7 linked regions of the Coturnix japonica genome follow. The protein of the gene in region 1 purifies or fractionates together with the protein of each later gene. This does not show direct contact. Links are inferred from orthologs where the notes say so. Each region holds a gene or a part of one and is shown on either strand. Other genes may lie near its edges.

What was found.
Region 2: the proteins of HDAC2 (region 1) and EZH2 purify together in Homo sapiens (affinity purification with western blotting; 5 studies listed by BioGRID, with this or other methods). This does not show direct contact. The link is inferred for Coturnix japonica from reciprocal best matches to the Homo sapiens genes HDAC2 and EZH2.
Region 3: the proteins of HDAC2 (region 1) and HMG20A purify together in Homo sapiens (affinity purification with mass spectrometry; 6 studies listed by BioGRID and IntAct, counting the BioPlex papers as one, with this or other methods). This does not show direct contact. The link is inferred for Coturnix japonica from reciprocal best matches to the Homo sapiens genes HDAC2 and HMG20A.
Region 4: the proteins of HDAC2 (region 1) and HELLS purify together in Homo sapiens (affinity purification with western blotting; 3 studies listed by BioGRID, with this or other methods). This does not show direct contact. The link is inferred for Coturnix japonica from reciprocal best matches to the Homo sapiens genes HDAC2 and HELLS.
Region 5: the proteins of HDAC2 (region 1) and EHMT1 purify together in Homo sapiens (affinity purification with mass spectrometry; 3 studies listed by BioGRID and IntAct, with this or other methods). This does not show direct contact. The link is inferred for Coturnix japonica from reciprocal best matches to the Homo sapiens genes HDAC2 and EHMT1.
Region 6: the proteins of HDAC2 (region 1) and SMARCB1 purify together in Homo sapiens (affinity purification with mass spectrometry; 5 studies listed by BioGRID and IntAct, with this or other methods). This does not show direct contact. The link is inferred for Coturnix japonica from reciprocal best matches to the Homo sapiens genes HDAC2 and SMARCB1.
Region 7: the proteins of HDAC2 (region 1) and GSE1 purify together in Homo sapiens (affinity purification with mass spectrometry; 5 studies listed by BioGRID and IntAct, with this or other methods). This does not show direct contact. The link is inferred for Coturnix japonica from reciprocal best matches to the Homo sapiens genes HDAC2 and GSE1.

The regions. Positions count from the first base shown.
Region 1 is NC_029518.1:58,974,045-58,978,285, forward strand, and holds the start of HDAC2 (histone deacetylase 2), read left to right. Parts: upstream 1-1,441; coding exon 1,442-1,472; intron 1,473-2,042; coding exon 2,043-2,155; intron 2,156-2,681; coding exon 2,682-2,799; intron 2,800-3,703; coding exon 3,704-3,778; intron 3,779-4,069; coding exon 4,070-4,208; intron 4,209-4,241. UniProt on the Homo sapiens protein: Histone deacetylase that catalyzes the deacetylation of lysine residues on the N-terminal part of the core histones (H2A, H2B, H3 and H4).
Region 2 is NC_029517.1:75,450,571-75,455,409, reverse strand, and holds the start of EZH2 (histone-lysine N-methyltransferase EZH2), read left to right. Parts: upstream 1-1,784; 5' UTR 1,785-1,834; coding exon 1,835-1,893; intron 1,894-2,369; exon of another isoform or gene 2,370-2,581; intron 2,582-4,839. UniProt on the Homo sapiens protein: Polycomb group (PcG) protein. Catalytic subunit of the PRC2/EED-EZH2 complex, which methylates 'Lys-9' (H3K9me) and 'Lys-27' (H3K27me) of histone H3, leading to transcriptional repression of the affected target gene.
Region 3 is NC_029525.1:2,279,162-2,283,723, reverse strand, and holds the start of HMG20A (high mobility group protein 20A), read left to right. Parts: upstream 1-1,437; 5' UTR 1,438-1,564; intron 1,565-2,123; 5' UTR 2,124-2,233; intron 2,234-4,562. UniProt on the Homo sapiens protein: Plays a role in neuronal differentiation as chromatin-associated protein. Acts as inhibitor of HMG20B. Overcomes the repressive effects of the neuronal silencer REST and induces the activation of neuronal-specific genes.
Region 4 is NC_029521.1:14,021,195-14,025,275, reverse strand, and holds part of HELLS (lymphoid-specific helicase), read left to right. Parts: intron 1-994; coding exon 995-1,054; intron 1,055-2,033; coding exon 2,034-2,070; intron 2,071-2,178; coding exon 2,179-2,243; intron 2,244-2,706; coding exon 2,707-2,748; intron 2,749-3,141; coding exon 3,142-3,366; intron 3,367-4,081. UniProt on the Homo sapiens protein: Plays an essential role in normal development and survival. Involved in regulation of the expansion or survival of lymphoid cells. Required for de novo or maintenance DNA methylation. May control silencing of the imprinted CDKN1C gene through DNA methylation.
Region 5 is NC_029532.1:1,222,254-1,226,334, forward strand, and holds part of EHMT1 (histone-lysine N-methyltransferase EHMT1), read left to right. Parts: intron 1-2,298; coding exon 2,299-2,442; intron 2,443-3,917; coding exon 3,918-4,081. UniProt on the Homo sapiens protein: Histone methyltransferase that specifically mono- and dimethylates 'Lys-9' of histone H3 (H3K9me1 and H3K9me2, respectively) in euchromatin.
Region 6 is NC_029530.1:7,053,063-7,057,143, forward strand, and holds part of SMARCB1 (SWI/SNF-related matrix-associated actin-dependent regulator of chromatin subfamily B member 1), read left to right. Parts: intron 1-390; coding exon 391-528; intron 529-763; coding exon 764-891; intron 892-1,183; coding exon 1,184-1,350; intron 1,351-1,566; coding exon 1,567-1,757; intron 1,758-4,081.
Region 7 is NC_029526.1:15,701,839-15,705,570, reverse strand, and holds part of GSE1 (genetic suppressor element 1), read left to right. Parts: intron 1-59; coding exon 60-384; intron 385-1,708; coding exon 1,709-2,289; intron 2,290-2,927; coding exon 2,928-3,040; intron 3,041-3,276; coding exon 3,277-3,547; intron 3,548-3,641; coding exon 3,642-3,732.

The sequences.
Region 1 (4,241 bases):
TGATCTTCTAGGTCTTTTCCAACCTTGATAATTCTGTGATTCTGTGTAATATTCTCTTATGTGTTGCTGCCCTGTGACAGATGGCAGCAGAGGGGCTGTACGATAGAATGGCGTCTGACATGGTAGTATGGTGTGACACTAAATTCCACCATGTAGAGAAAATGGCACCCATTGACTTTCATTGCTGTTTGCTGAATGTTTTTGGGTACCAAACAGTAGCTGTGAGCACCATGAGGTGGTAGGTGATGTGTTTCAACAGTGATCCTATTGACATGAAAGAAAGACAAGCTACATTCCAGACAGTCACGTGCAGCAGTCACACCATGAAATGAAGAGTGCCTGAATCAGCTCATCTACATGATTTGGCTAATGCTCGTAACTGCGTTTGAAAAATGGTATTTCGTAGCTGAGAATTTGTGTTATTACAAGAATCACAGAATGACCCGGGTTGGAAGGGACCTCAAGGATCATGTAGTTCCAACCCCCCTGCTTGGCAGGGCCACCAAACATACACCTTTACTAGATCAGGTTGCCCAGGGCCCCGTCCAACCTGGCCTTGAACACCTCCAAGGACGGGGCATCCACAACCTCCCTGGGCAGCCTGTTCCAGGGCCTAACCACTCTCCTAGTGAAGAACTTCCCCCTAACATCCAACCTAAATCTTCCCTCTTTCAACTTAAAACCATTTCCCTGTGTCCTGCTATAGTCAGCCCTTTGTTATTGTGCTCTTTGTATCTGTTGTTTTTTACATGGAAATAGGGGCATTACTTTAAGAGCAACTTACATAGATACCTTCATATTACATTATGTTAGGCCATATCTGCTTTGTGAAGTGTCCTTATTTGCCCTATTACTTCAAAAACAGAAAGTTGGATTTTTAGAATCCTTCGATATTTCTAATCTTACTTTAGTGCTTGCTCTTCTTGGTGATGCTATTGAAGGCTGGTGTTTTCCCTTCCTTGTGGCCCGGAGCTCACGTTGAAGAAGTGAAACTACAGCTGCTTTGTAGCAGTGCTACTTCTTACCCTTGCTTACCAAAACATGAAAAATTACGTTTTGAAAACAATGTTCTTTCTTTTCCAGTAGGCTGGAAAATTTTGTTGAAAAAAAATGTTGAAAATTATGAAAGAAAAATAAAATGTTTTGGAAGATAAAATCAGTAATACTACCAAGGAATTTCCTCAGAAGGAAAGAAGAGCTATTGCGAATAATTGACAACGTGATAGCTCTTGAGAACTTAATATACCTACTAGGCTTGTCCACATCTCCTGAAACACATGGAACTTAAGTTTTATTCAGAATGGTTTGTTTCTTGGAAAAGTCTGTGTTTGGAGCAGAGGCAGGTGTGTTCTCCTGCTGTCCAGGATGGAGGAAAACAATGTCTGGTGACAGTAGCCATTCTTTCTTCCTGGAAAGAAGTGATCAATATGTTACGGTAACCATGTGTCTAGTCATTATTCAGTTTGATGAGAGTAGGGTTCATCTGAGTTGCAAGGCAATCTACTGTGGACTGGATCTCTAGCAGCAGGTGGCTTGGAAATGTTTGTGCATGTGATTACAGCAGCAGGTTTGAAGCTAACTTCTGGAATGTAACTGTTAGGATTAGCTAGGAAGGGCAGCAGGGTAAGGAAGTATCTACTTAAAATCAGTTCTTAGAAAATGGTAGGTTTTGCTACAGCTGCTGTTGTGGTATAATGTCACTGTCAGTGGTGGTTTCTGCTCCCTTCATAATTCCTATTTTGTTTCCTGTTATTCTGTTCTCCAGTTCCATCCCATTGTTTTCTTCATTCATGATTTGAAACCACTCTAGGCACTTCTGCTCCCCCACTACTGTTGGCTTGTAGTAAAGGTCTTAGTTTTGGTCTTTTTTGCCATCTGCTTACAGCTTTTTTGGCTGTTTGTTTTCCTTGTGGTGTGTTTGAAAGAGCAGTTCGTTCATATCTCTTTTTGGAATCATCATATTTACTTGTCTTTTGGGAGTGATTCTTCTAAGTAGCAAAAAACTTGTTTTGTAATGTCAGTTCATTTCTGTATATTGACAGGTGATATTGGAAACTATTACTATGGACAAGGGCATCCAATGAAACCTCATAGGATCCGAATGACACACAACTTGCTCCTAAATTATGGCTTGTACAGAAAAATGGAAATTTACGTGAGTATAAGCAATGGAATGTTTACTGAAGTATAAGCAATAGATTGTCCACTGATGTATTGGAAGTTGGCTTCAAGTATTCTTACACAGATAAACAGGTAGAAGTGGGAGTAGAAATAGAAAATGCTTAGTGTATTCAGTGTACTTTTACTTCAGATTGAAGTGCCTTTTAATAAGGAATGTTTTTTTATATATGTATATAAAATGTGTGTGGGTGTATATATGTTATAAATATATATATAACCACTGCTGTCCCTTTCTGGAAGGAGTGAAAAGCAGCGCCAGTAGAGGCTTTAATGGTATTTTTATGATTATGTGGGGGTGAGATTATGGTAACTGCACAATGAATTTAGTGGGTTCAAGCTATCAGAGTAATCCTTGCTTTGTGCAAAATACCAGTAGTAGTAGTTTCACTGTTCTCCCTTCAGAGCAGGTTAGATTTCTTTCAAGCTGTCTGTTTTAGTTAATTGTTAACTGGTTTTGCAGCAGTGCTCTAATTATTTCCATAACTTATTCTTCTTATCAGCGACCCCACAAAGCTACTGCTGAGGAAATGACCAAATACCATAGTGATGAATACATCAAATTCCTCAGATCAATAAGGCCTGACAATATGTCTGAGTACAGCAAGCAGATGCAAAGATGTAAGTGTCAATATTAAGTAAATTCTAAGTTTGTACGTCTGCTTCATTGGTTGTGGTGTTTAAACTTAAATATTCAGCAGTGTGATGTTACAAATAGTAGCTACATTAATTTTGTGTCTTTTAATAAAAAGCAGCTATGTTCAAATAAATATTCCTGACGTTTACGAAAGGACTTGCATGCAGAATGTCTGCTGGGTGCAAAATAATACTTTCTATAGACTTCATGCACCGGGTTAAACTTCAGCTGTTAAGCATTTGCAAAACTGGCTTAGAAATACCTTCTAATGCAAATTCTTTCTGAAGGAAAAAATAATGGCTTAAAGAATAGTAGTAAGATATTAAAATGTGTTGAAGTCAAGAAATCGAGTTGACTCTCTGGTTGGAGTGAGGTGGTGAAAATAGCACGTTATTCACGTTTTCTGTTAAGTAGTTTTTCAGACTTTAGGAGTAAGTTCAAATTACTGTCAGAAATACAGTTTAACACAGCTCTACCAATATATAATATGTGTTTGTAACTCTTTACAGTGCCTTATTCTCGATGTATTTTTCCAAGAAGCTGCACATTTATTAATATGATGTTAATCAACACTTGTTCTAAAGCAGACAAATGATTTAACTTATTAATGAGACAGCTTTCTATGGAAACAAAGAAACAAAACAAGCAAAAAAACCAGTTTGGAGTCATCTTAAATGGTAAAAACTGTGCCAACAGTTGTTTGATTACTAGGAGCTTGGGCAAACTTTATATTTGTTTCAGTGTTTAAAACTTAGCTTGACAGAAAAGGGGAGAGGGGGGTAAAAGTAGTTGAAATGCTAAATGAATTCTGCATTTTTATGCGCTACCCTTGCCTATAGCAATGCTATTAGGATTATGCTTTTGAAGAGTAATGTGTTTCTTGCACAGTTAATGTTGGAGAAGATTGTCCTGTTTTTGATGGCCTGTTTGAGTTCTGTCAGTTATCAACTGGAGGCTCTGTTGGTAAGTACAGATTGTTTGCCAGATATTTTGTAGCTTTATTATGTTTATGTCAGCTACGTAAACCTTCGGTAATATAGATCCTGAAGCAAATACAAGTTTGTTTTGCATAGCAACACAAAGATTAACAGTTATTTGATCTATCTCATATTTGATTATTTGTATATCATGAGATCTAGGATTAAGTGTGAGATTTAATGACTTAAAAATGAGATACTGTTTCCTTTAACAAATTTAAAGACCTTCAGAAGTTTCTGACTGTTTTGTTTCAATTTTGTGTGTGTCTTTCTACAGCTGGGGCGGTAAAATTGAACAGACAGCAGACAGACATGGCTGTAAATTGGGCTGGAGGACTTCACCATGCCAAGAAGTCAGAGGCATCTGGTTTTTGTTATGTCAATGATATTGTGCTTGCCATCCTTGAGTTACTGAAGTAAGTTTTATGGTAGAAAAAGACAAAAAAAAA
Region 2 (4,839 bases), on another chromosome or scaffold:
AAGAGAGGCAAAAGATTTCAACAATTCCAGAAGCATCCAAGCCAGATAAGATACTCTCTTCCAGAGTCTAGTTCTATTTTGATTGTTAAGCAAAATAAACATCTTCAACATTAGTTACTTTTTTTCAGAACTATTACATGTTGCCACCAGAACTGACTCTTTTCAGAATAACAACTCATCAGAATAACAGATTTCATAATTATTCCAGAAACCTTTGTAATATTTTTTGCTCACAGATCTGGTCCAAATGCCTCTTCATAATGCAGATTGGTGTTCAGGCATTCTTTAATCATGAAAATGCAGCAGAACAGAAAAATGTTTGGGTGGTTTACTCCATGAAAACAGAAAGTCTATAAGCAGCTCATTACAACATTAAGCATCCACGTGCAGAAAAAAAGAAACAAGCTGCCAGAATTCTCCAGGTTATTTTAAATAGCCCATATGATCAGAAAATTGACACTTCGTGGAGATCCTCACTGAGGATTCATCACTTCTAGAACTGAAATGCAGCATGGAAAGATTGTTTTCACAGAGTGCAAAACAGAAAGAGTAGTTCCATTCAAAATGTGTTTTATTTTCTAGTAAGCATTAGCTTCACGTACAGCAGGTGAATAACTTTCTGTGCAAGACAAAAACTGAAGCGTGTACTGCAATTGAGTTCAGTGTTGTCTCCACACATCTTTTTTTCACCTTGTGACTGACTATAGTGCTTGCTTAAAGTTACGCTATGCTTATTTAGCACAGGAGTTGTATATATATATATATATATATATATAGACTAAGATAAGATCTCATGAAGTGCAATTCTAACAATAAAAAAACTACAAGTTCCAAGCTGTGAAGAGACTGGGTAGCCATTTTGGTGGTGCCAGCCATCTTGGAGCAGAATAGATTTAAATAGCTGAATTTCAAGAAATGACTGACATTTTGCAAAGTTGATAGTTTTAACGTAATCTTGGAAAAGGTCATCTACTCTAGTAGAATCAAAGAAAGAGTATGACAATATATCGTTTCGTGACATGCAAACATAAGAGGAAATAATTTCTGTTCCACATTAAAAGAACTCTGATCCTTGTTTGGCCTATAATGCAGCTGAAAGATTTGGGCATGAAGCTGTGTCAATGATCTTCTCTCATAGGATTTTTATCATTCAGAACCTCATTATGGTGGACAGTGCTAATTTTTGGGCTTCACACAAAGATGAGACAAGGTAGTTGAATGTATCAGAAGTGATTTGCAAGGGAAGGTGAGAAACACTGGTAACAGACAGTAAGGGTACAAGGCTCACAATCCATTCTACCTCAGAAGTAGTGCTGAACACAGGAGGCTTAGGAAGGAGAGATGGTGACAAGCATACATGGAAGTTTCCCACCATGATCTTATCTTGGCAATTTTGTTTTTCCAGTCAACAAAGAAGGGCTGCAGTGGCCAAACAGTGAGACAAAAGAAGGCTAAGGGGGAATGAATCCTTGAGGTTTAAAGTACCTCCTTGTCAACGTGACTGAGTCGTAGAATAAAAACGAGGGAAAATGGTAGCAACCTTAGGCTAGAGACAGTGTATCACTAGCAACAGGATCCCAGCCTTATGCAGAATGGACACCTTGCTGTTGCTGTGATTTACCATCACTGCCAAGATGGGACACAATGGGATTTTGACAGTTAAGAATCCATGCTGGTTACAGAACAGCAAGGCACCAAAATTCGTGAGCAACAGCGTGAAACAAAAGGACAGATACGTGCTAGGTTTGGGTGCGCAAAGGTCAGATGACACGGCAGGAGGATGCATCACGTACTCTGGTTAGTGACTCAGCCAGCCAACGCTCGGCACGGCGCAATGCCGGGAAGGAGAGAGCCCGCCGCGGAAGCGACGGGCAGGGAGCGGGCCGTGCTGAGGTAAGCAGCTCCTGCCAACAACACCCCCAGTCCCCGCCTGGATCTTCCCGCCTGGTCGCAGACGCGCCTCTCCCAGTTCTCCGTCCTGTCCCGTCCCGTCCCGTCCCGTCCCCTCCCCTCTCTGCAGCGCGCGGAAGCAGCAGCACGACTGTTAAAACCGTTACAGCTCCCACTTTCGAACTGATTCAAACTCAGCAGCACTGAGACGCGAGGCCCCTCCCCGCTCCCGTCGGACCCCTCGCCTCCCTCCCCTCCCCAGTCCCCGTGAGGCGGCGGCCGGAGCACCTCAAACTCCAGACCCGCTGCCCGCTCAGCTACACGGACGGGCAAAGAGGGCACAAAACCGCCAGCCCGGGCGGCAGCGCGAGAACAAAGAGCTCCCCCACCCCTCCTTCCCGCCAGCACGTGGGGCACGGACCCCGCCCCTCTCCCCGCCCCTCTCCGCCCCTGATTGGCTCGGGGCGCTCCGTCCGCGTCCGTCCAATCGGGGCGGCGCTCGGCTCTCGCCAATGAACGTGTTACCGATTGGGCCACTGTATTTGGCGCTCGGTCCGGGAGGGTGAATCCGGCAGCCGGAGGCAGGAGGGAAGAAGAGTCGGGGAGCGAAGCGGCTGTGGTGGCGGTGGCACGAGATTGGAGCGAGGGGACGGGTGAGCTGGACGGCAGCGGCAGCAGCACCACAACCACCGTACGGGCTGCGGGCCGGGAGCAGTTATTTATAACCGACTCCCTTTGTTATGGGGGGTGGGGAGGCAGACAGGGAGGGCGCGACCGCCTCGGTCCCGAGCAGCGCGCCGCGTCGCGCTTGAAGGAACGGGATGGGGTGGGGGGCGGCAGCGAGATTCGCGCCCGCTCTGCAGCCGTTGACAGCGGAGGGAGCGGCGCGGAGCCGACGGTGCCTTTTGTCTGAGTTGGCTCTGTCCATCCTGGCCGCGCCGCGCTCGGCGGAGCGGAGCCTTGGGCGGGGGGGGCGACTGGCGCCGTGCGGGAGAAAGAGCGGGTAGGAGCCGGCTGTTTCCTCTCCTCCCCGTTCCTGCCGGCCTCCTGTGGTGGCGGCTGCCTCTGGCACGGTTTCGCTGAGGGGTCGGCGGGGGGATCCGTGTGTTAAACGTACGCAAGGTGAGGTCTCGGTGAGTCCGAAACGCGAAGACAAGTCCGTTCTGTCCGCCTCAGCCCCCTCCGAGAGAGAAGCACGGTGCAGAAGTTGTTACGCGGCGGTAGCCCCCGCCCTGGGGTGCGAGTAGGTCCGCGGCAGCCCCATGTGCCCGCGGTGTCCCGGAAGCGGAGCGTTCCCACTCTCGCCCTCGCACGTTGCCGTCCCGCCGGCCAGTCTGCGACGGGGCTCTCCAGCCCCCGGCGAGTTTCACGGGCACCGAGTGCGGGAGAGCGGGGACGGCGCGGGAGTCAATCTGTCCGGCCAACTTCCTCGTCGGGAAGGGCGCTGCTCGGCTAACCGGCCCTCCAGAGTTCGGAGGGAGCTGGAACTGCTGAGTTGGAGACCTAATGTCGCAAAGCGCGGGTGTGTGGGGCGATCTCTGAAATCGGCATGTTTGGGGAGGTGTGAAAGGGACGGAGTTGTGCTGGAGCAACAGGCGTGTGTGTGATCAGACAAAGGTGATGAAATCAATGTATTGTAGCGCAACGCATGTGTATCTGGTGTTAAGTACGAACATCCAAAAATTATTAGGAATGGGCAGAAAGAAAAGCAGTCTCAGCATAATGTAGCAAAAATGGTATAATGAACCTGTACCTGGCTCAAGATACTTTTTCAAAGTTATGAAACAGTATATTTCATTGGAACTAGGGCCTTGGTTTTTTTCTCTGTTTGGTTTTTTGGTTTTGTTTTTGTTTGGTCTGTTTATTTGTTGCAGGATAGGTTTGTCTTTGTGCAAGTCGAGCAATTGCAGATCCAACCGTTCAGTACTTCAGCGAGACTTTACTGGTATTTTTAGTACACGATAAACTTCTAAACGGAGATTTCCTCATATACAAGTCCTTTCTCTCTTTTTCTCTTTTTCCTCTTTCCCCCTACCCCACCCCCCTTTTTTTCCATTATTTTTTAATTTATTATTATTATTTTTAGGGCTTGGCACATTCCGGTTCTTTGTGACTTGTAAAAATTAAAAGGTCATTCTTTGTTTGTCCCCAGTGTCTGTATCAAATTGAGAGTTCAGGGAATGTTTAATTGTGATAACAATAACGCATCTTCAGAAGGGTGAGTATTACTTGTCCACAGTGTATGGTAGCTATCCTTGCTTTATATTAGATCATAATAATATAGATAAGGCTTACAGTGTCTTTCAGAAAACACGGTTCTAGTACTTTAGGAGGTATTATTCAAAAGTTTTATGCAATAAAATACTTTTTTAGACATTCTAAAATATTACTCTGAAAGTGACATACACTGAAAATACTTATTGGCAGAAGAACATTAAAAGTCTTTGCTCAGTTTAAAATCAGATAAAGCAATAGTCTATAAGCTTAGGCTGGAGACTAGAAATTCAAAATTTTTTGCTTTCCACATGGTATTTTCTTCTACCTAGAATTTTCAATGAGTTGAAATATCGTGGGTGACTTTGTTGGAAATATGCCTTCTAATGGGTTTATATTTGTTCTATGATATGGCATTTGTAGGTGAGATGTAAATGTACTTCAGCTTATCTACAAGGAAACTTTGGCTTAGCAAGTAGGGAATTCTTGTAGTACATTAGTGAGTGTACTAATTGTATATATGGAGAGTGCAAACTAACTGCTGCTTTCTGTGAATCAACATACGTCAGAATGAGCTGCATGTCACATACGCCAACAGTGTACACAGAAGCTGGTGCGTTTCAGAGATCCTCTGAAAACTAGTCTAAAAAACAGACAAAACCTCTCCTTGTCACCATTCATTCACAAGAACTTTCTGCCTCTTTAGATATATACATCATATATACATTTTATTAA
Region 3 (4,562 bases), on another chromosome or scaffold:
CCATGTTACCTGATGGGGCTGTGGAGTGAATGTGGCCGCACTGATGGCTCCTGGCTGCTGCCGTCAGCCATGAGATGCCACACGTGGCTTGTAGTTAACTTGACATTACCTCTTTGAACTTCACTTTAACTAATAAACCAGCCTGTGACTTACTGATTGCCGCTGTTCTACCGCGAGCAGGTTACAAACACCTGGATCTATCTCAGCAATAGCAGCATGAGAACAGTCTTGTTTCCCTGGCCAAGCATTCTCTTTCCACACCGCACATGCTTATGACGGCAGCACGGCAGCTCACACCTCCACACCACACGTTGGGCCACGACCCCGGCTGCAGTGCAGGGGGGGACACTGTGATCCCAGCAGCTGATCCCAGGCCTGGGGAGAGGCAGGTCCGACAGGAACACGATGTAAAAGGGAAACGGCCGCTGGGGTGAACCCAGCCCCAAAGCGGGTTAGTGCCAGACGTCAGTAGGAGGAAGAAAGCAGCGAGTGGGGAAACTGCCCTTCTGTTCTGAGCGCAGGATAAAGGGACACAACAGGAAAAAGGAAAAGGAAAGGAGAGAGCCGGGAGCGCTAACCCGGGAACGAGGCAGGGGAGGCACGATCCGACCTGTTGTTCCGCACATCTCACACCGGGGCCGCATGGGCCGAGCCGGCGGGGCGTCCCGGTGCGGGGCAGAGGAGCCAGGGATGGAGGCGGGATGGAGGCAGCGCAGCCCGGAACAAAAGGCACCGACCGCCGCCGCCCGGACACAACTTCGCCCCGATCGCGGAGCGGAGCTGAGCTGAGCTGAGCTGAGCGCCCCGCACCTCACCTCACCACCCCGCCCCGCCGCCCCCCGCCCCAGCCGGCGCCGCTCTCCCGCACCTCCCTCCTCACCCCCCCCCACGCGTCCCCCTCTCGGGGCCCCGCCGAGCAAACCCGACCCGTTGGCTTCCCCCGGCCGAGGGGCGGCCCGGCCCCGCGCACCTCACGGTGACTCCGTCCCCGCGGCGCCTCCCGGCCGCGCGCAGCTCCGTGTTCGTGCGGGCGGTGCCGCGCCGGGTCCCGCTCCGGGCAGCGCGCGCCGCGCCCGCAACAAGCACCGAGTCCGGGCGCCGCGCGGACACGCCCCGCGCGCGCTGAGGGGCGGGGCGACCCCGCCCACCCCGGCAGCCCATTGGTTGGGGAGGGGAGAGGGGGCGGGGCCAGGCCGAGGGCGCGCGCCGGGATCGTCGAGAGGGAAGACTACGCATCCCGGCGTGCACCGCGCGGTGCGGCTCCCGGCTTTAAAGCAGAATGCCAAAGGTAATGGTGTCCTTCCGCCCGCGCGGAAAAAGTAGTCCCGGGGTGTAGTTTGGCCTCCTGCTCTGAGGCGGTGGAAAGGGAAGGGGACGGGGCAGGAAGCGCTGCTGGGGTCGGCTGTTGCGCTTCCAGCCCGGGTTCCCTTTGGGGCCTCTCCGGGTAGAGCTGTGGTGAGGGGCGGAGGGATCCGCGCCGGTGGAGGCGCGGTGATGCGGCTCTGTGAGGGACGCGGCGGCGGCGGGGCCGAGGGGACGCTCAGTGCCGGGCCGAGCCCCGCAGGTCAGTGCAGCGGGACGGGCCCGCTCTGCCCGCTCACCGCACGGGGCGGCCCGGGGCGCTGTGTGGAGCCGGGGGCGGCGTGACGGGACCGGCCGGCACGGCCTGCACGCGCCTTCGGGCCTGCCGACGGCTGCGGCTCGCGTGGGGCTGAGCGCTCGGCGCGTGTCTTCGTGCTCATCGCGTCTGTTGTTGGTGATCACACGGCGGTTCCCCGCGGCTCCATCGTTCTCATTACCCGTTACGTTATTGCATCCCTCAGTAGTCCCTTATGGAGCGGGGTGCTCGGCCTGCTGCCCTCCAGTTCTGTTAAAATAGAGAAACTACAGTGTGTGACTTAACTCCACTGTTCCCAGTATAAATCTAGTCTTTCTATTCTACCTGCATGTGTTGAGGTCCGTAGCTGACAGGTGCCTGTTCTGTGGGTGAGGGTGAGCCCCGTTTCCAAAGGAATGCTGTAGCTACAGTGCGGCCTTCAGCTCTACATGTGTCAGACTGTGACTTACACAAACTCCTGTGCTTTGCAGGGTTTCTAAACGCCTTCCATCTTCTGTTCTTGCAGGACACGTTCCCTCGGTGGCCACGGCTGTGTCTGATGGCGAGGGCTGCACAGAGAGCTGACGTGTGCTGAGCTGCCCAGAGCTCCCGGTCTGCTGAGTGGAAGCAGTGAGGGTGAGCTGAGTTACTGCTCTATACTCACCTGGCAGAGTCACTCCTCCCGTCCCGCTGTAAGCTGGTACAGGTTGCTGCACTGTTGCTCCTCATCCTGCCCTCCCCAGGCTGTGGCTGGAGGATCTTTACTCCCTCCCACCTGAAGCATGTGTGGAACTGTGCTGGTTTTTGTAGCACTGAGGCATACGAGGCATATCTTTTTCTTCCTTTAATTCTTAAAGCAGCTGAAGCTGTCTGATAATTCTGTCTCGTTCTGGTTTTTATTCCTCTGGTGTTGAATGCAGATGAATTGTAGGCAGTTCAGTGCTGTCATGGGTGAAGCCTGCTCTCGTTCCATTGGTGTCTTCAAGTTCATATCTTTAGTTATTCCGTGGTATCCAAGGGATTGTTTGTGGCCAAAAGAAACTTGTGATAATGTATTAATAATCACCTTTCAAAATAAGTCATCTGCAGTATTTGTTAGGACTTATGGGTGTTGATGTGCCTGGTTTGGGCTCTGTATTGTTCTGAAGGAGCCAGAGCCAATGAGTCTTAGCTGCTTTAATGAGATGGGTTCTCGGTGTTAAATGAATGGTGGTCAATAGAGTTAGCTCTGTTTTGTGGTTCCTCTATGGATAACTCGCATGGAATTAGCTGGTGTTTTTGTGGATTATTTAGTTTGGAGTTTACTTGGTTGCAGTTTGAAAGCCATGGGGGGCCATTGTTATTTGTTGATCCAAAGCTGGATTTGATTGTGTGAAATGAAGAGCATCCCACAGTAGTGCTCAGGAGACGTGGTGTCTGGCGTCACGATTGGGAAAGTCAAGTGTCAGTCTCCATAGCTGGGGGAGCAGAGGAGAGAAAGAGCTGTGACACAACAGGTTCTGGTAATAGCATGGGAATATACAACAGAAAAACAGCATCAAGCCAAGTATTGGAAACAGTAAACTGTGAATCTTCTTTCACGCTTCTAACTCTGGAGTTTGCTAACATTGCATTTCTGCTATGGAGGTGGGTGGGGAAGCGTTCCCAGCATGGGGTGAACGGTGCACCAAGGTAGGAGGAAGTTTGTGTATTAAATATGTTTTAGTGGTGCTTTTAAATACTACTACAAACCTTTTTCCTTGGTGCAGTGGTTCTTTTCTACTTCCCCACAGCCTATTGTTCTTTAAGAACACACATCTCCTTGTATTTGTTTTCACATATCCAGGGTGTTGGCAAGGACATCTGCTGCTGCCAAAAGGGTGGAAATTCAGGAATTAATCTAGGAAGATATTCCATGTGAAGCTACCACTGCATTGGATGCATGAGTGTTTTGGAGTCTCAAGGTTTAGAGACTATTTTTAAGTGCTCTTAAGTTCTTCTGTAGGGTGGGTATTGTCTGGCTGAAATAGAGCTGAGACAACCAGTATTTGCCTTTATCCTCTCTTTCACTACATGGGAATGAATTTGTCTCTATTCTTATGCTCAGTTTAATTAAGGTAGAAAAGTAAGTATTATGCAATTCATATGAGATATGAAGAAGCAATGTCATAGATTGTTTTCTAACAAGCTCTTGTTAGAAAAATAATCAGAATCCGGGGGATTTCGAGCTCTCTATTTCCAGACTCGTGGGAAAGAATCTCATCTTTCATTAGCAGAATAAATGTTTAGCTTGACATCAGAAAGAAAAAAAACTGAAAACGTCAAGTCAGCTTATGAGATAATCCTAATTCTTTTTCTGGTATTCAGATTTCCTTCCACTTATGGCTATTTTAGGGCCCTCAGTTACTGGAATCGTTTCCAGTGTTCTTCATTTTTGACATCGCTTGAGTTGTAGGGGGATAGAAGCTGAATCTCAGGCCACGGAGTTAGAAATGTAGGTCAGTATTGGCAGTGCTACTTGTATCCTTCCTTCCCTGCCAGCTGCTGTGCTTACTTCATGCTTTGCTGAACCATTTCACCTTGTGTCAACTAAAAACATCAACACAAAGCTATTGTTTCTTTAGCATGCTGATACACAGACATTGTCTAATGACCAGAGCTCTGCCCATCTGAAGATGCTGTGGTTGAAGTAGCTGGTAGTTCAATAGGTTTGGGCTAGTCTCTCCTATGGCAGTGGAAAACTGCTGTTTGGTCCTTCTAGGCCTGGTTTCTCTTCACTTGGGCAGGTGATCTCAAAGCACTCAATAACAGGCTGCTAACAAGGAGAGTCCAACTAGCAAGAACTGTTGGTGTCTGGGGGTGGCTCATGTAAATTCATACGAGTGTTTACCATTGGTAGAAATGGGAGGTTTCATATGCACTCCTTATTTTTATAGGCTCTGGTGTTTGAGCTCTCTGAGTCTTTACAGCTATGTAGCTGAGATGG
Region 4 (4,081 bases), on another chromosome or scaffold:
TTAACAGAAGAATAGAAGGAATTGACAGATAGAAATTGTGCAGCCTATTTGTGTTTTTTACTGATGGTTGAGGATGAGGCTTGTTTTCAGGATGCTACTGGAATACAAATGTATAAATTACAGTGACCTGCTGAGGCCAAGCTGTCTCAAACTTCCATAAATCGATTTGATATTTTTGTTGTCTTAATCTATGGGCTAAGTTCACATCTGGCTTTGTCTGAGTTTTATTAACTGTCCCTGTATGTACAGACTTGTGAGAGTTTGAGCTTTAGAGGAAGGAGGAATCTCAGGAGAAGATGCAGGTTAATGACTTGCTCAGAAAAGTGGCACTGGCAAGTGCTTAAAGCTCCTTTCTAAAATAATCCTCTAGCTTCTCCTGTCAGCTTGAATTCATGGTTACTGCATTAATAGAGTGTCTTTTTAATATTAAGTCTTTCATTACTTCATCTTATAATTAGCAAGGTTCTATATATATCTTTTTCCCCCAGGGTTCTTTTGCTTTCAGCAAGTAAAAATAGTAGATAACATTTAAAAAAAAAATCTTAGATTCATCAAGATATGAAAATAATTCTTCCTTAAAGGCACTATAGGATACTTGCATTGCTTTCTGTTCTACAATGAACACAAGTGGTAACATGTGAAAGTTGAAGAGCTGTGTACATCAAATACTTAACATAGTAAATGTGATCTCTTGAAGGAGATTGCAATTGGGAACGTCTTTCTTTGGAGTCTGTCTAAATTACTGTATTTGAAAGTGTTTAGAGCAGTGACTGACACATAATTCAGAGCAGTTGCACTTTCTCACCTAAGTTTTATTTCATGATTATTTTTTTTTTAAACAATGTCACTGTCAGAATAGAAGCTTGCGTTGAGACTGCAAAAACAAGTTATAGAATACCCAGAAATCTGGATTACCAATGTAATTTGCATCTGTTATTTCTGTAATGGATAGTTCTTTGTAGGTGTTATTTAAGAATTATCTTTGTCTTTTTAGGAACAGAAAAGGAAAGAGAAGTTAGAAAAGAAGAGGGAGATGATGTTAAAATCTGCCAAGGTAAGATCAGCCAGCTGTTTTATGTAACTTTTCTCTAATTAAAGTCTGTTAAACTGCCATATCAATTTGGATCTTTTAGTCAAGGTAAAGAAGTTAGACTTGCCCAGTATTTAATTTGAAGATACATCTATTTATAAAAACTTCTAAAGATATAAGATTTAGTCAATGATTTTGCTGGGGCCTGTCCTGTTCAGTATCTTTATTGATGATCTAGATGAGGGCATTCTCAATAAGTTTGCAGATGACACCAAAATGACAGAAATAGTCCATCTGCTTGGTAGAAAGAAGGCCCTACAGAGGGACCTGGACAGGCTGGATTGCTGGGCTGAGGTCCATGGATCATCCTCTTCTCCTGCATTACTAGTGATAGGATCAGAGGGAATGGGCCTAAAGTTGTATCAGGGGAGATTCAGGTTGGACACTGGGAAATTATAATTCTCTGAGAGGGTGGTCAGGCACTGGAATGGGCTGCCCACAGACAGAATCACTATCTCTGGAGTTGTTAAAGAAACATTTTGATGTTGTACTGAGGGACATGGTTTAGTGGAAAGTTTTGATGACAAGTGGACAGTTGGACTGCATGATCTTAAAGATTTTACCAACCTTTGTGATTCCATGATTCTAATATAGCGTGGTATTTAGCTGTGATAAAACTGTTTAAACTGCACTTAAAAAAAATCACATAGTATAGACTGTCTTACTAAGGAGACTTTGACTAATTTTTATTAAAGGGAGTGGAATAGATTTGTCTTGAATTCTGGTATTTTGTTAAAGAGTGATTACTTAACTTGGTCAACCGAGAGCCTAAGTGCTGGCATATGAAAGCAAAGATGAAAAAGTCTGGTGCTTACCTGCTTTTGCTGTTTCTTAAAATAGTAATCGTGTTTCAAAAAGCTTTCAAAAATAACGGCTTGAGTCTGATGCCATATTCTTTTGTGTTGAGATAGATTATGAAACTCTTCCTGTGTTTATTTTCTAGGGTCAAAATCCAGCTGATGGGAAAGAAGATAAATCAGGTAACTGGTAAAAGTTTAAAAAAAAAAAGTCTTTGTTTTGTCAGTACCAGTGTTTTTTAGTTCCTTCAAAATTTACTGTGTTGTATAAACTCAAATCTTATGTTACAGCTACAAAGAAGAAGAGAGGGAGAGATGACGGAACATACAACATTTCAGAAATTATGTCCAAAGAGGTAGGCCGTATCTGTCAATGGATTTGTTTGAACTCCTGTAGCATAATTTTAAGTGATGTGATGATCACTGACATCTGTGTTTTGTAGCAATGCATCCTTATTCATTGCCATCAGAGGCTGACTAACAGCCAACAGTAGTCTGTAAGATATTTATTCTAGCAAATACCTTCTTAACAAGCAGACCTATAGAATCAAAATACTTATCTTAAAGTCTTTGGAGAGGTAGATGAGAAGAGAATACATCTTCCAGTTGAATTTCCAGTCCTCTTGTAATTGAAATTTGCTGACGGGTGGCCTTGTTTAGAGTCAATGATGGATTAATTATTATGTATGGAAATTTATTTAAAGTATGTCCAGATTCTTGAATTAAAAGATCTTTTGGAATACAAATTGTTGTAGCCTTTCAGATTTAGAAGTACTTAAGTATAAGGTTTAAGTATAAGGTTTTTTGTTTTTTTCCCAGGAAATCTTATCTGTGGCTAAAAAAAGTAAAGTGGAAAATCAGGTAAGTTGGCAAACATTACTACAATTTAAACATTTAGAGCCTGAAAGGAGGGAGGGCGGGCTTTTAAAACTTTTCCTGTAGGTAAATCTTTGCTCGCTGTTTAAGTCCTGTGCTGTCTCTTCTCCAAAGTAGTAAAGAGTACTGCCTATAAGGTATTGAGATTTTGCATGGATACATCTGCTTTTATGGTGACATCAACCCTTAAAATAGATTCTACAGTTCAGTTGACAGTTACTAAAAACAAACCTTTGTGTCAGGGGCTGTTTTGCTTCAGTACACTGTAACAGACTAGCACAGACTTACCACAGTTGTAGCATCTGGTAGAAATACATCTTAGCTGGGCTTTATTAATGCATTCTACTTGTCACTTATTCCTTGAACATTCTTCTATAGGATGAAAGCTCTGCTGACAACCTGTGTCCAGAAGACCTGCAGAAAAATGGGGACTCAAATAGTGTCATTAAGGATAGATTGTGTCAAGCTGTACGACACAGTGCCAAGCAATTCCTTGATCCAGTGCGGAAATTTAACGGACAACCAGTGCCTTTTCAGCAGCCAAAGATTTTTACTGGAGGTGTCATGAGGTGGTACCAAGTGGAAGGCATGGAGTGGCTAAGGGTATGGAGCAGCCGTTTACAAAAATGCGTTTGTTGCCAACTGGGAACTGAAACAGAGAAAGAGAAATGAAAAATCTGAGTATAGTTGATACAGGAAAGATGAGGAAGGAAAGTTCCTTGTTGTTTCTTTTTGTTTGTTTGTTTTTAATTATATGGGAATCTGATGTTATTAACAGTTGTTAATTCTGTAGATATGAATTTAAAGTCTGGGGAGGATATTTGGGTTTGTAAAGATTTCACGAGGCTTTAATTTTTCTTCTCCATCTATTTTCTTTTTCAACTCAACTGTTTTTTCAGCCTCTCCTTTGAAGTGCTTTATGAAAGTCTATTCATACTTAACTTGAGGGGAGACCTTGCTGGTTTTCCTCTGTCAAGGACATGAGTAGCCCGTAGGTCTTTAGACTCAACCACCTCGCAGGCCTGACACAAGTGACAGTTTTCAATTCTCTCTGCAATTTGAACACTTAACTAGCAGTATTAACATGATGGTTTAAAAATGTTTTGTCTTCAATATTTGAAATCAAATGCAGGAGAAACATGCAATAATAATAATAAAAAAAAAGCCCATGCATTTATTTTTTTTCCTCCCAGTTTTTCCTTGGAAGCCAAATGAGGACAACTTTGCTTTTTTATTATCAGATCAAATTAGAACTAACTTTCTGCTTCTGATTTAATATTTCTCCTGGGTTTTCTTTAATTCTTCCAACAAGCACATG
Region 5 (4,081 bases), on another chromosome or scaffold:
TCGGGGGAAGCTTGGAGCTGGTTCCCTTGACTACAAAGGAGCTGATGCAAACCTTTCCGTAGCCAGCTCTTGAGTTTCTGGAACTTGGCATGCCTTCTGCCAGCTCAGTCTCCTTTGGCCCTCCACTTTCCTCCTCCCCCCCAAGAGACTTGTGTTACTAAGCTTCCTATGTCCTGGCAGTCCTGCGCAGCCTCTGTGGCTGGCTGGAAACGTTGCACTTGATGCCTCTAAATTGATCACAGCTGGGCTAGTTGGGCTCTGCTGGTTCTGAGAAGGTGGAATTAAGAGGCAAAAGTGACTCCCTCTCAGAGTTTGGAAAGGAAGATGGCGTGACAGAAGCAAACTCGGGAGATGCTCCTTACTCTGGAAGAAACTGGCGTTTCTTTGATGCATCAGCTGAGCTGCAGCCATGCTGCAGTGCTCTGATATTTACTGATAGAAGGACAAGGAGTCAGAGCACTCCTGGTTCTTCTGGAGTATCACAGTAGAAGGGTGGATGGAGGGAGGAAGGGGTAATCACATTGACAGCCCTGCTCTGCTTCTGTTAGTACATGCTGGTACCTATAGAGAAAGGAATTTCACTATCGTGACAGAGTTGGTAGGTGAAGGAGGGGATGCCCTGGAGACTCGCAGGAGAGAGGGTTCTCCAGGGTTTCTAAATAAACAGAAAGAATACAGAGGAGTTCCTGTGGTTATCTGGCAGTTCTTCCCCCAGATAAATCAGATAAAGGAATAGTGAAGGCCGTGCATTCTGTTAGATTCTTTTTGGTAATGGGATAAGTGACTCATAGATGTGGTAAGGATATTACATGTATGAATAGTGGGTTCAGTAGACAGTCATGTCCTTGGATAATGTTATAAATAGTCAGGAGCACCACTACACTCTCTAATGGCTGGAAAATAGCAATTGATCATTTTGTACTATTTTAGACTTTTCTAACAAATAATATGTTGTGACAGGATGATGCAGGGACTTCCTTATGCAGACAGTGCAGCTTCTCCTGCTTTAATCAGATTTCCTCCACTCATAAATAAAAATCAATGGACTGGTCCTCTCCTGCAGCCCCTGGGGTCTGTGTGTGAGCAGTGATCACTTCAGGTAAGGTGTCACAACCGCAGGTAGGCTTTGCAGCTGGAGTTTGGGTAAGCTGGGTCAGAGATGCTAAGGGAGAAGAGCTCAGGTTAAAAACAGTTCTTTGTTGTTTGTTTTTTTTTCCCTGTAGGTGTGTTGATTGTAGGAGAAATGGAGTTTAAAATAAATCAGGGAGTTTAGTTTTACTGAGAAAAAGCAGTGAATCAGACCTCAGCTACAGAGCAGGAGGGGCAGCCTGCTAGTGAGGAGCAGACACTGTGTTCCTTACGGACTGCTGTGGTGATGGAGGCAGAGTGCAGTACACCACGCTCAGATTCTGGTAGGGGTGTTTCCTCCTATGAACTTTTCATGTTTATGTTTCTGTGCTGGAATTGTCCTTTGCCAAGCACTGGGAGAAAGCAAGGTTTTCATCTGAAGGGATTTAGAGAACTCAAACAATGTTGTACCACGCTGACAGGTGGCAAACAGGATGTGGAAGGTTTATAGGTGTACACAGGGGTGGCAGGAGGAAGCCCCAGTCCTTGAGGCACAGCAGAGTGAGTGACACTGCTGGGAAAAGCCCTGCTGATGGAGCCTGCTGTCACTGGCAGAGCAAGGTGCCAGAAGACAGCTCTTAGGCCCGAAATGATACACTGGTGAAATGTTGCAGAAAGCATGCTCAAAATCTGACTGGAGCTGAGCTCTCATGAACGACTGGCTCTTCGTCCCTGTGGTCTGGGCAGGGGCCAGTGCTGGAACCAGTACAGACGATAACATAGCTGGCAATGAAGAGCAATTATTTTTCCCTTTATCTTCCTGTGACTTGTACTTTTGAACAGTAACAAGATTTAGCGCGTATGTTCTTGTTCTCTTGGTCACTGACACCCGCTCTTCCTGGCAAAAGCAGAGAGTGTATTGTGAGTCAGGCCCCTGGGACTGCCCCCTCTGTGGCTGCTTGGCTGTTGCGTATTTCCAGTTATGATTTTTCTTGCAAGGAACAAATGAGTCCGGTCCACATGCATGTTAGTTAGTAAATGATGCATTTCTTCCTGTGAGAGCAGCTTTCACAGCTTCCTGCTGCCCTGCTAATGCTATCTGGCACACATCTGAATTACTGTGAAAAAGCCAGGGCTCATCAAAGCAGTGTGCAAAATCTTCCTCCGCACAAGCACAGAGAGTGTTTTGGTCTCCAGTAATTTCATTTCCTTTAATTTCTCCTGTTCCAGCTGGGCCGATGCACAAACAGTGTGGTTAAGTATGAACTGATGCGCCCGTCTAACAAAGTCCAGCTTTTGGTGCTGTGTGAGGACCATAGAGGGAGGATGGTGAAACACCAGTGTTGCCCTGGCTGTGGATACTTTTGCACTGCAGTAAGTCCGTGCTCTCAATCTAGGGAAGGGGGTACTTGTTGCAGTAGCTGGAAGAGGTGAAGGTGGAGATTTACCCAAAGGGGTTTACTGACTTCCTGGCATAAGCTCCACCTCATTCCACAGCACATCAGATGGCATTTTCAACAGTAATGTGTTTGAAAGTAGCTACAATGCTCACCTGTAACTTCCTGGAGACCCCGAGGGGTGTCACCGAAGGGGTGGAATTCATACCTTTGGAATTTTTTTGGAACATTGTTTGTTTTTTTTTTTTCTTCCTCTGTGCAGTCAATCACATCACAAATGGTGTTAGCCTTAGTCTGCATACAGGACAGGGGTTCTGTCCCCCGTGCCGCACAGTGAGGTGGGGGAACCAGAGTGATGGCACTGGAACAAGGCAATGTTTGAGATCTCCTCCTCCTTCTCTACCACTGAGGTTTTAATAGCATTGGCCCAGTGCTTTGAGCCATCGTTGTCCTTGTTTCCTTGCTGGTGAAACACTCATTGAGAGCCTCCCGGGGTGATAGGGTGGGTTAATTGTCTGATGTTAGCGTTCTTAAAGATGACTCGATGAAAGGTATTAGAGTAGTCTCAACATTATTATAACTGTAATAAATGGTACCATCCCGAGTTTTCATGCTGAGTCAAAGATCATTTGAAAGATATAATCCTCAGAACGCTTGAAGACATTTTGCAATGCTGAAATAGTTAATAAGATGTCTTGGGAGGACTGTGAATCCAGGAGAAGAGTGGGTTTAAACTAACTTTTCCTTAATGCTGTTACATCTCTGAGTGACCTCATAGTTCATAAAGGTGAATCTGGCAGTGTTTGTGTTATCAGTCACTAGTAACACAGAGCACCGTAGGGCTTTAGGTAGCACTGATATCACAGAACAGTGAGTTCTGGGGTGCAGTTCAACTTGGAGGACTTTGCTGGAAAGAGAAGATAATTTGTAGAAAGGTGGCTCACATCTGTCAGCAGATGGGGTTAAAGAGCATACAGGGCTGGTCCAAACAGAGGAGTTGCATGCTTTGGGTAACACTGGGGTTGACAGCTGATGTAATTGTATCATTGTTGTTCCTTGAATGGTTTGTGTGCAGATGTGTTTGGTAGTTTTAGTGCTGACTGGTTTGAAGTTTTCTTTTCCAGTATTGGGAGCGTCCTTACAGTACACTGGCACTTCTAGGAACGTAAGCAAGAACCTCAAGTGTTAGAGCTGGAAAATGGGACTCTGTGGTTCTGTTTCCCACGTGCAATTAAAAAACTTGCTTTGCAGTTCCTAACCAAGTGAGTTTTTTCCCATTACCTTGGTTTTGTTCTCTTCTAAAGAAGTGGCAGTGCTTGCTTACTGTACTGGAAGCGCGAGGGACAAGAGAGGTCGTGAATGATGTGTTTAAGAGCTCTGCGGATGAAGCATGTGGAAGGGGTAAGGCTCGTAGTGACCAAGGTGTGAATATCTTCTCTGTAATTTTTTTAGGGCACTTTCATGGAGTGTCAGCCTGAGAGCAGCATCTCCCACCGTTTCCACAAGAACTGTGCCTCCCAGGTCAACGACACGAGCTACTGCCCACACTGCGGGGAAGACGCCTCCAAGGCAAAGGAGGTGACAATAGCAAAAGCAGACACGACTTCCACGGTGTC
Region 6 (4,081 bases), on another chromosome or scaffold:
AAGGATTGGGTTGCTGCCCACATATTACAGGAAGAAAAACATTAGTGTTTGATGATACAGCTCATTTTGCAGTTACTTCATTCCAACTGTAGCAGATGTTCTGCAGAACACTCTCTGCGCATACTTTTTGCTGGAGATGTCGCATTTCTCAGCAGTTCCTCTGTAAACATAGACAGGAAATCCAAATATGAAGCATGTATTGGTGGTACACCTGGATTCGTATGCAGTGGATAGTTGTGGGCCGGAAAATGGAGTTTGAAGGCAATAATGTGGAATGAGTTCTCAGTCCAACTGTCATTAGGAAGGAACTCGTAATTTATGATACTAAGTTTAAAAATAGTGGCAGTGGTGTTCGGGGCCTGCAGGTTAACACAGAGTGTCATTCTGCAGAGAACAGAAGGCAAAGAGGAACAACCAATGGGTGCCGACACTGCCCAACAGCTCTCATCACCTGGATGCAGTACCATGCTCAACAACCATTAACAGAAATCGCATGGGCAGGGACAAGAAGAGGACTTTCCCTCTGTGGTAAGACAGCTTCCTTCTTCAGAAAAGTGGAAACAGTTACTAACATGACACACTGCAGGGGGCTGCTCTGATAGGCAGGTGGCTGCCAGAGCCCTGTAACTTTGTGTTGAGGATTATGTCTAATAATTGAAAAGTTGAAGTATAGGGATGGTAACAATAAAAAGCACCTTCCTTCTATGCATGCCAGATGTATCATTTTCTATTCCACATGCCCTATTGATGTTCTTTGTTCTAGCTTTGATGACCATGACCCAGCAGTCATCCATGAGAACGCATCCCAGCCGGAGGTTCTGGTTCCAATCAGGCTTGATATGGAAATTGATGGACAGAAACTCAGAGATGCATTTACATGGAACATGAATGGTATGTAGGAGGGAGAGTTTCCTGAGACTAGAAAAATACAGTTGCATTCATTACCAAATATGAAGAGAGAACAAGCAAGTCCTTGCCCCATATAGGAAAATCTTTTAAGCTCTTCTACAGTGATGTGTCCTATTCGGCTCTCATGGCTCTTAGCAGATCCCTAACACTTCCATGGATTGCAGTAATTCCTGAATACCTGTAATCTGAAAAGTTAGATGGGATCTTAATTTTGTGTATTCCGTAAGTGGCAGACATTGGTGGCTGAGAAAAATGTCTTCTTGTTCTGTATCAGAAAAGCTGATGACCCCAGAAATGTTCTCAGAGATTCTTTGTGATGACCTGGATTTGAATCCTCTGACCTTTGTCCCTGCTATTGCCTCTGCCATCCGACAACAGATTGAATCATACCCAACTGACAGCATCCTAGAGGATCAGTCAGACCAGCGTGTTATTATTAAGGTAAATTACAGGGAGGCAGTAGAATGAGAGCTGAACTATACTTGCATTTCTCTAGTTTTGTGTTCTTGGTTTTTTGGATTTTTTGTTTATTTATTTATGGGGGAGAGATAGCACAAAGACTTCCCTCAAAACCAAGGAGTTCCTAATTCCAATCCTTTATCCAGGTTAGATTTTGTCCTTGAGAAATGAATGACTCGTTTCTTCCCTTGTCTCCAGCTTAACATCCACGTAGGGAACATCTCCCTTGTAGACCAGTTTGAATGGGACATGTCAGAGAAGGAGAATTCACCAGAGAAGTTTGCCTTGAAGCTGTGCTCAGAGCTTGGCCTGGGTGGGGAGTTTGTCACTACTATTGCCTACAGCATCCGGGGACAGCTGAGCTGGCATCAGAAGACATACGCCTTCAGGTACAGAACTGCCATCTTTCTGGATGGGTGTAGATGTGTTTTCTTACTTCATGGCTGTTAACGTCAACGAATCTTGAACTGCTGACACAGTGTAGAAAGCTTAATTTGAAATTGGTTCTTATAGATTGTATACTATATAGTTCTTAAAAGACTGTTTTATTTCTTGGACATCCTTTTGTTTCATCAATTGGTGATCCCCTAAGCTGGTATTATCTAAGGACCACTGCTTGTGCAAGGTTAGCAGCTCACATGGTTTCATTTCTTCTCACTGTTCTGGACAGTTGTCTGTCTTGAAGTGGCAAGTGAGTCACACGTCATGGGACGGTGAGGTGTTACTGGTGAGCTGTAAGAGACACTGTGCTGCTTGTATGAAATGGATGGAGTCCTCTGGATAACAGAAATGTTAGTAGTGGATCTAACCATAGCACTCTAAATGTACGTGACACATTTGCAGTCATGTCTTCCTCAGGCACAGCCCCTTGTTGCTGGCTGCCTGACTGGTGAAGAAATGAAGAGTTTTGATCTGGAGCCTGGTGTGTTTTGTTCTGTAGATCCTGGTGCCTCTCAACCAGCTTGTGCTTTTGCTCAGAGATCTTTTTGTGGTGGGTGTAGTGCATCCCAGGGCCAAATATCAATGAAATCAGTTTTTGCCACAGAGTGAAAGGCTTTTCTAATTAACACTGTCAGAAAACCTTGTGCCTTCTTCTAATGTCTGCACATGATGAGCCTTGGATACGTTTCTGTCTCATCAGCTCTGTCTGACCTGGGCCAAGCTTTGGTCTTCTGAGCTAAGCCTGACTGACACTGTAGCTCTCTGCCCTGGATGAAGTTGAGGTTGGTTTGATCACAGGCAGTTCTCTTAGCTGGAACGCAACAGTGTCAGGTTTGATTAGTCAGCTTTGTAACTTGCCTCCTAATATTAATTATTTCCAGTTGTGCTGTGCAGAGTTCTGTGGCAATGTACTGCACAGATGTTATCCTCCATATGTTGCTTAGTCTGCAGTCTGTTAAGTATTCCTTAATGTGTGCTGGTGGGTTTTTTGACCTCAGGCCATGGTGACACTTGAGGAAGTTTGAGAGTTCAGCAAGTGATGTATTGCAGAGGTGGGAGAAAGGTGCTACTGGCGCTGGTTTTGTGGAGGTCAGCTCAAGGAAGCTTGCAGCTAATCCCTAGTGTGGTTCACATGGAAGTTAAACTCTTCTCTAGGAGCAGGGAGTTGACTTCTCCCTTGCTATCCATGACAGCAGATTGATATTTGCAGATCTGTGCTGTGGAACAGCTAGAGCAGTGGGTATGTGTTGCTGAGGATGGGTGGGAGCTTGGAGGGCAGTCAGTGGCAATATGATGCCTCTAGTACTGCTTCTTCTTCCCTGCTGCTTTACACATCTACTTTATATGTGTCCCTGGTTGCTGAAGAGTGCTTTGTTTTTGGGGTGGCTCAAATAGGTAGATTTCAGGCCTTCTTTAGGCTGTTGCCATTTTTTAAGGGGGTGATTTAAAAACGAGGAAGGAAAGCACAGAAATAAAGTACAATAGCTGTGAACCATTCAGAGGCAGAAAGCACCTAATTTAAGACTTGCTTTTTTTGTCACAGTACAAATATGCCCTCCTCTTCCCTCTCTTCTTTTTGCAAAGGAGTACTTTTGAAACCTTCCTGTGATTAATGATGTTTGGGTTTTGTGGTTGGGTAGTTCCTGAATTCCCAAACCACAGCAGTGATGGTTGCTCCAAAGTTATTCCGCCGATGTAAGGAAAGATTCTGCTGTAGATGTATCAAAAGAACCTTAAAATCTCCAGGAGTTGGAGATTTGGGAAGTCATGTGTCTCTTAGTCATCAGAGGGAGAGCTGAAACTGTCCTTCAGTTGATGAACTCCAGGGCAATTATTTCAGCTGGTTTCTCTCTGCAAAACAAGGGGAGCCTGAGAGCCCAATGGAAGGGACAGGATTGGAAGTGGCTGGTAGCTGATTCAGTTGTGATTTTCAGGGGATGGTGTACTAAACATTTCCTGCCTCAGTGCTGAGATGTTTCTAAGGGCAGCACGCAGTTTTATACCCAGACTTCTGCCTTCAAAACCAGAATGACGTTGTATTGAACATCAAACCTGCATGCCTATGGGGTTGTTCTTTTCAGAGGAACACCTCTCCCTCTTGGCTGCAGTGCTGTGCCCCAGTAGAGGCAGTGCAGTGCTCCACTGAATGCCACAGCTGACAGTGCCTTTCAGTCATTCTGCCAGCACCTCTTGTTTAACAGATAAAGGAGGGGGCATTGTCCTATGATGAAGTTTAGGAGATGAGGGAGGATTTTTCATTTTCTCTATTTCT
Region 7 (3,732 bases), on another chromosome or scaffold:
ACAGCTGGGGTTCAGCCTGCACCCCACCAACCCTCTGTCTCCTCTTTTTTATTCCCCAGAGAAACTGAAGGACTCAGTGCTGCCGACGCCAAAGCCCCTCCAGCACCCGCTGCACCCACCGCCTGCCTCACACCACCCCGTGCCCAGCCTCATCCCCAACCACAACGTCTTCCCTCTGCCTGGCAGCAGCGCGGCCACGGCGCTGCTCATCCACCGCACCAACGAGGAGGAGAAATGGTTGGCCCGGCAGCGCCGCCTGCGCCAGGAGAAGGAGGACCGCCAGTCCCAGGTGTCGGAGTTCCGCCAGCAGGTGCTGGAGCAGCACCTCGACATGGGGCGCACCCCGAGCCAGCCTGAGCCCGAGCACCGACCTGACAACCCCAGGTAGGGCTGCACACCCCAAGTGGGTTTATCCTCTCTGCCAGGATGCAGGATGCCCCTTTCCATGCTCCCTCTGCCCATTTTCCTGCTGGTTTCATAGGATTTTCCCATCTCGCTGCCATTTTCGCCACCCTGCGAGCTGGCTCTGAGCAGGACGAGCTCCCCCCAAGCTCAGCCTTCATGCTTTCCCCCCCTGCACCAGGCGAGCTGTGTGTCCGGTGCCAGCAGGTCCCCGCCGTGCTGTGCCAGCCGGGCCGGCTGTGCTGGCAGCGCCGTGCGGTGCCACTGCCTGACATCTGCGCGGCAGCAGGCGGTGAGCCCGGGAGGTGGCTGGGGGCCAACGGCGAGCAGCCAGGTGCTGCCGAGGCAGCGACATCGCTAATTGCAGCTTCCCCTGTGCAGCCTGAAAGCTGCTTCTCTGATAGAGGGGATGCGCAGTAGGATGAGGCGAGGGGGGCAGCCCGTGCCCACAGCTCTGCATTGACGCGGGTTTTCTCGCTCTGTTGCTGAGCGCTCTGGTGGTGTGGGCTTATCCAGTCGGCTCTGCTGCCGGCTCCCATTGTTATTTTTGGATATCAAGGGGATTAGCGCGGCTAATCGAGTATAACAAGGAGCGGATTGCGGGGCGGCACAATGGCAAGTGCCTGCTGCAGCCGCCCGCCCCCATCCACACATCCCTCCCCAAAGCAGGGAGGAGACATCAAGGTCACCCTGAGCACAGCAGTGAGTGTGTGGGGGGGTGTTCTTACAGCCTCATCTCCCTCCTATCCCATCTCCATCTTCATCCCATCCTCATCTCATTCCTACTCCTATCCCAGTCCCTTACTCAGCATCCTGCCCAGCCCCTTGTAAGTGCTGCCAGAGACCCCCAGATGGTGGGGAGGGATGGGGACAGGGACCCTGCTCTCCACTGGGGCAGGTGATGCCCTCAGCCCGCAGTGCTGGTGCCTGCAGGAGCTCTCCATAGAGCGATGGCAGCTGTGACCCGACTGGCAGCACTGAGCCCTCCCTGCTCTGCTGCACAGAGGTCTGGAGCGCTCGAGTGGAAAAGCGTTAAACGCTCCTCTCCGGAGCATGAAATATTTATCCTGCTAACAGGTTTGCTCCTTCCCTGGGTGTTTAGGGAAGGTTTCACTGTAGTGTCACTCTGTGTGCAGTGAGAGCCTGTGCCATCCCGGTCCCACAGAGGGGTCCCCTGCCCTGTATCCCGTTCCCAACCCTCCCCCCTCCACCACGTGCATCCAACAGATCATTTCTCCATAGATCCAGCTTGCAGAGAGGATTTGCTTCTCCTCTCCATCCCTCTCCTCTCCTCTCCTTCCTGCAGGTCGGGACCAAGCCGCCACGAGCCGAGCATCCGCGAGCCGGGGCAGCACTTTGGTGGTCCACCACCACTCATCTCCCCCAAACCCCAGCACCACCCCATTGCCACATCCCTCTGGAACCCCGTCTCCCTGATGGACAGCCCCTCGGAGCCCCCCCGGCGCCTCCCTGAGCCTCACATCCTCCACGGCCACCCGGCCCCCTTCGAGCCCAGCCGGCAGGGCATCCCGCTGGTGAAGGTGGAGAGAGTCTTCTGCCCCGAGAAGCTGGAAGACAGCTCAAGGAAAAGGGATGCGCTGGACAAATACCCCGTGCCACGGGAACCCAGCACTGCAGAGCACACAGGCTTCACCCACACACCATTCCTGGCCGAGCTGGAGAAATCCACGCAAAGCATCCTGAGCCAGCAGAGACCCCCAGCCACCCCTTTTGGGGAGGTGACCAAGCCCAGCTCGCCCTACAGACCCCCCCAGCCCCGCACGCAGGACCCCATGTACATCTACGACGAGTTTGTGCAGCAGCACCGCAGGCTGGTCAGCAAACTGGACCTGGAGGAGCGACGACGACGGGAGGCCCGGGAGAAAGGTGAGGAGGGGGTTTGGGACCCCCCACCAGGACCCCAATGGGGGAGGCCAGGAGGGGGCTCCCCAGTGATGCCATCAGCTCAACCCGCAGGCATTCGATGCAAGTGCTCCCGAAAGCCAAATCAGAGCGGCTTGGTAAATCCTCCGCTCTAGACATGCCCAATTAATAAATGATGAACTGAGGCTAATAAGCTGGCTTTAAATATTAATAGGGCCGTGCGAGCGGGGATGTGAACAGCAGCGAGGAGGAGATGGAGCGAGGTGTGGGGGCAGCACTGCCATCCCCCCTTGTGCCCCATTAACCTGCTGAGCCCGGTGCTCCCCATCAAGGCAGGCAGTGGTGTCCCCAGTGTCCTTGGCACAAGGTGCTCCTGGGCTGTGTCCCTCCCTGGTGCCCCAGCAGCAAAGGGAAGAGTCAGCCCTCCCACTACAAGCAGCCCACAGAGCCATAATTCTTCCAGTCCCCCTGCAAAGCCATCCCAAAACAGAGCTGAGCTGGGATGCTGTGGTGAGCATCCCCACCCAGCAGAATCCCAACCATTCCTGGGGTCCCAGCAGCTTCCCAGGGTCCCAGCAGTATATATGGGGGGGTCCCAGCATGGCCCCCCTTGGCTGATATCAGCTTCTCCCCATCCCCAGGTTATTACTACGACCTGGATGACTCCTGTGATGACAGCGACGAGGAGGAGGTGCGGGCACATCTCCGCTGTGTGGCCGAGCAGCCCCCGCTGAAGCTGGACACATCCTCTGAGGTAAATGGGCACAGCACTCGGCTGGATGTGGGGCTGAAGTGGGACTGGGGATGGAAATGGCAATGGCAATGGGGTTGAGGATGGTGACGGGATGGAGATAGAGCTGAGGTTGAAGGTGGAGATGGGGATGGAGATAGGAATGGAAATGGACATGGGATGGGGATGGGAACAGGGATGGGAACAGGTGCTGTGCTGCTGTGGGGCTGACCCAGCTCTGCTCTCCCCTCACGCCCCAGAAGCTGGAGTTCCTGCAGCTCTTCGGCCTCACCACGCAGCAGCAGAAGGAGGAATTACTGAGCCAGAAGCGGCGCAAACGCCGGCGGATGCTGCGGGAGCGCAGCCCCTCTCCACCCACGGTGCAGAACAAGCGCCGCACGCCATCCCCACGCCTCCCCCTCTCCACCCGCTACAGCCCCGACGAGATGAACAACAGCCCCAACTTCGAGGAGAAGAAACGCTTCCTCACCATCTTCAACCTCACGCACATCAGCGCCGAAAAGAGGAAAGGTAACGCCATGCCCCGTGCTGGGGTGGGGGTCCCCGTCCCCGTGCCGCGGGGCTGCCTGGTGCCCGGCTGAGCAGAGGCTACACTAAACCTCAGCTTCCCATGCGGCAGACAAGGAGAAGCTGGTGGAGATGCTGCAGGCCATGAAGCAGAAGCCCACGCCGGCTGCTGTGGTGGTGAAGAGCTC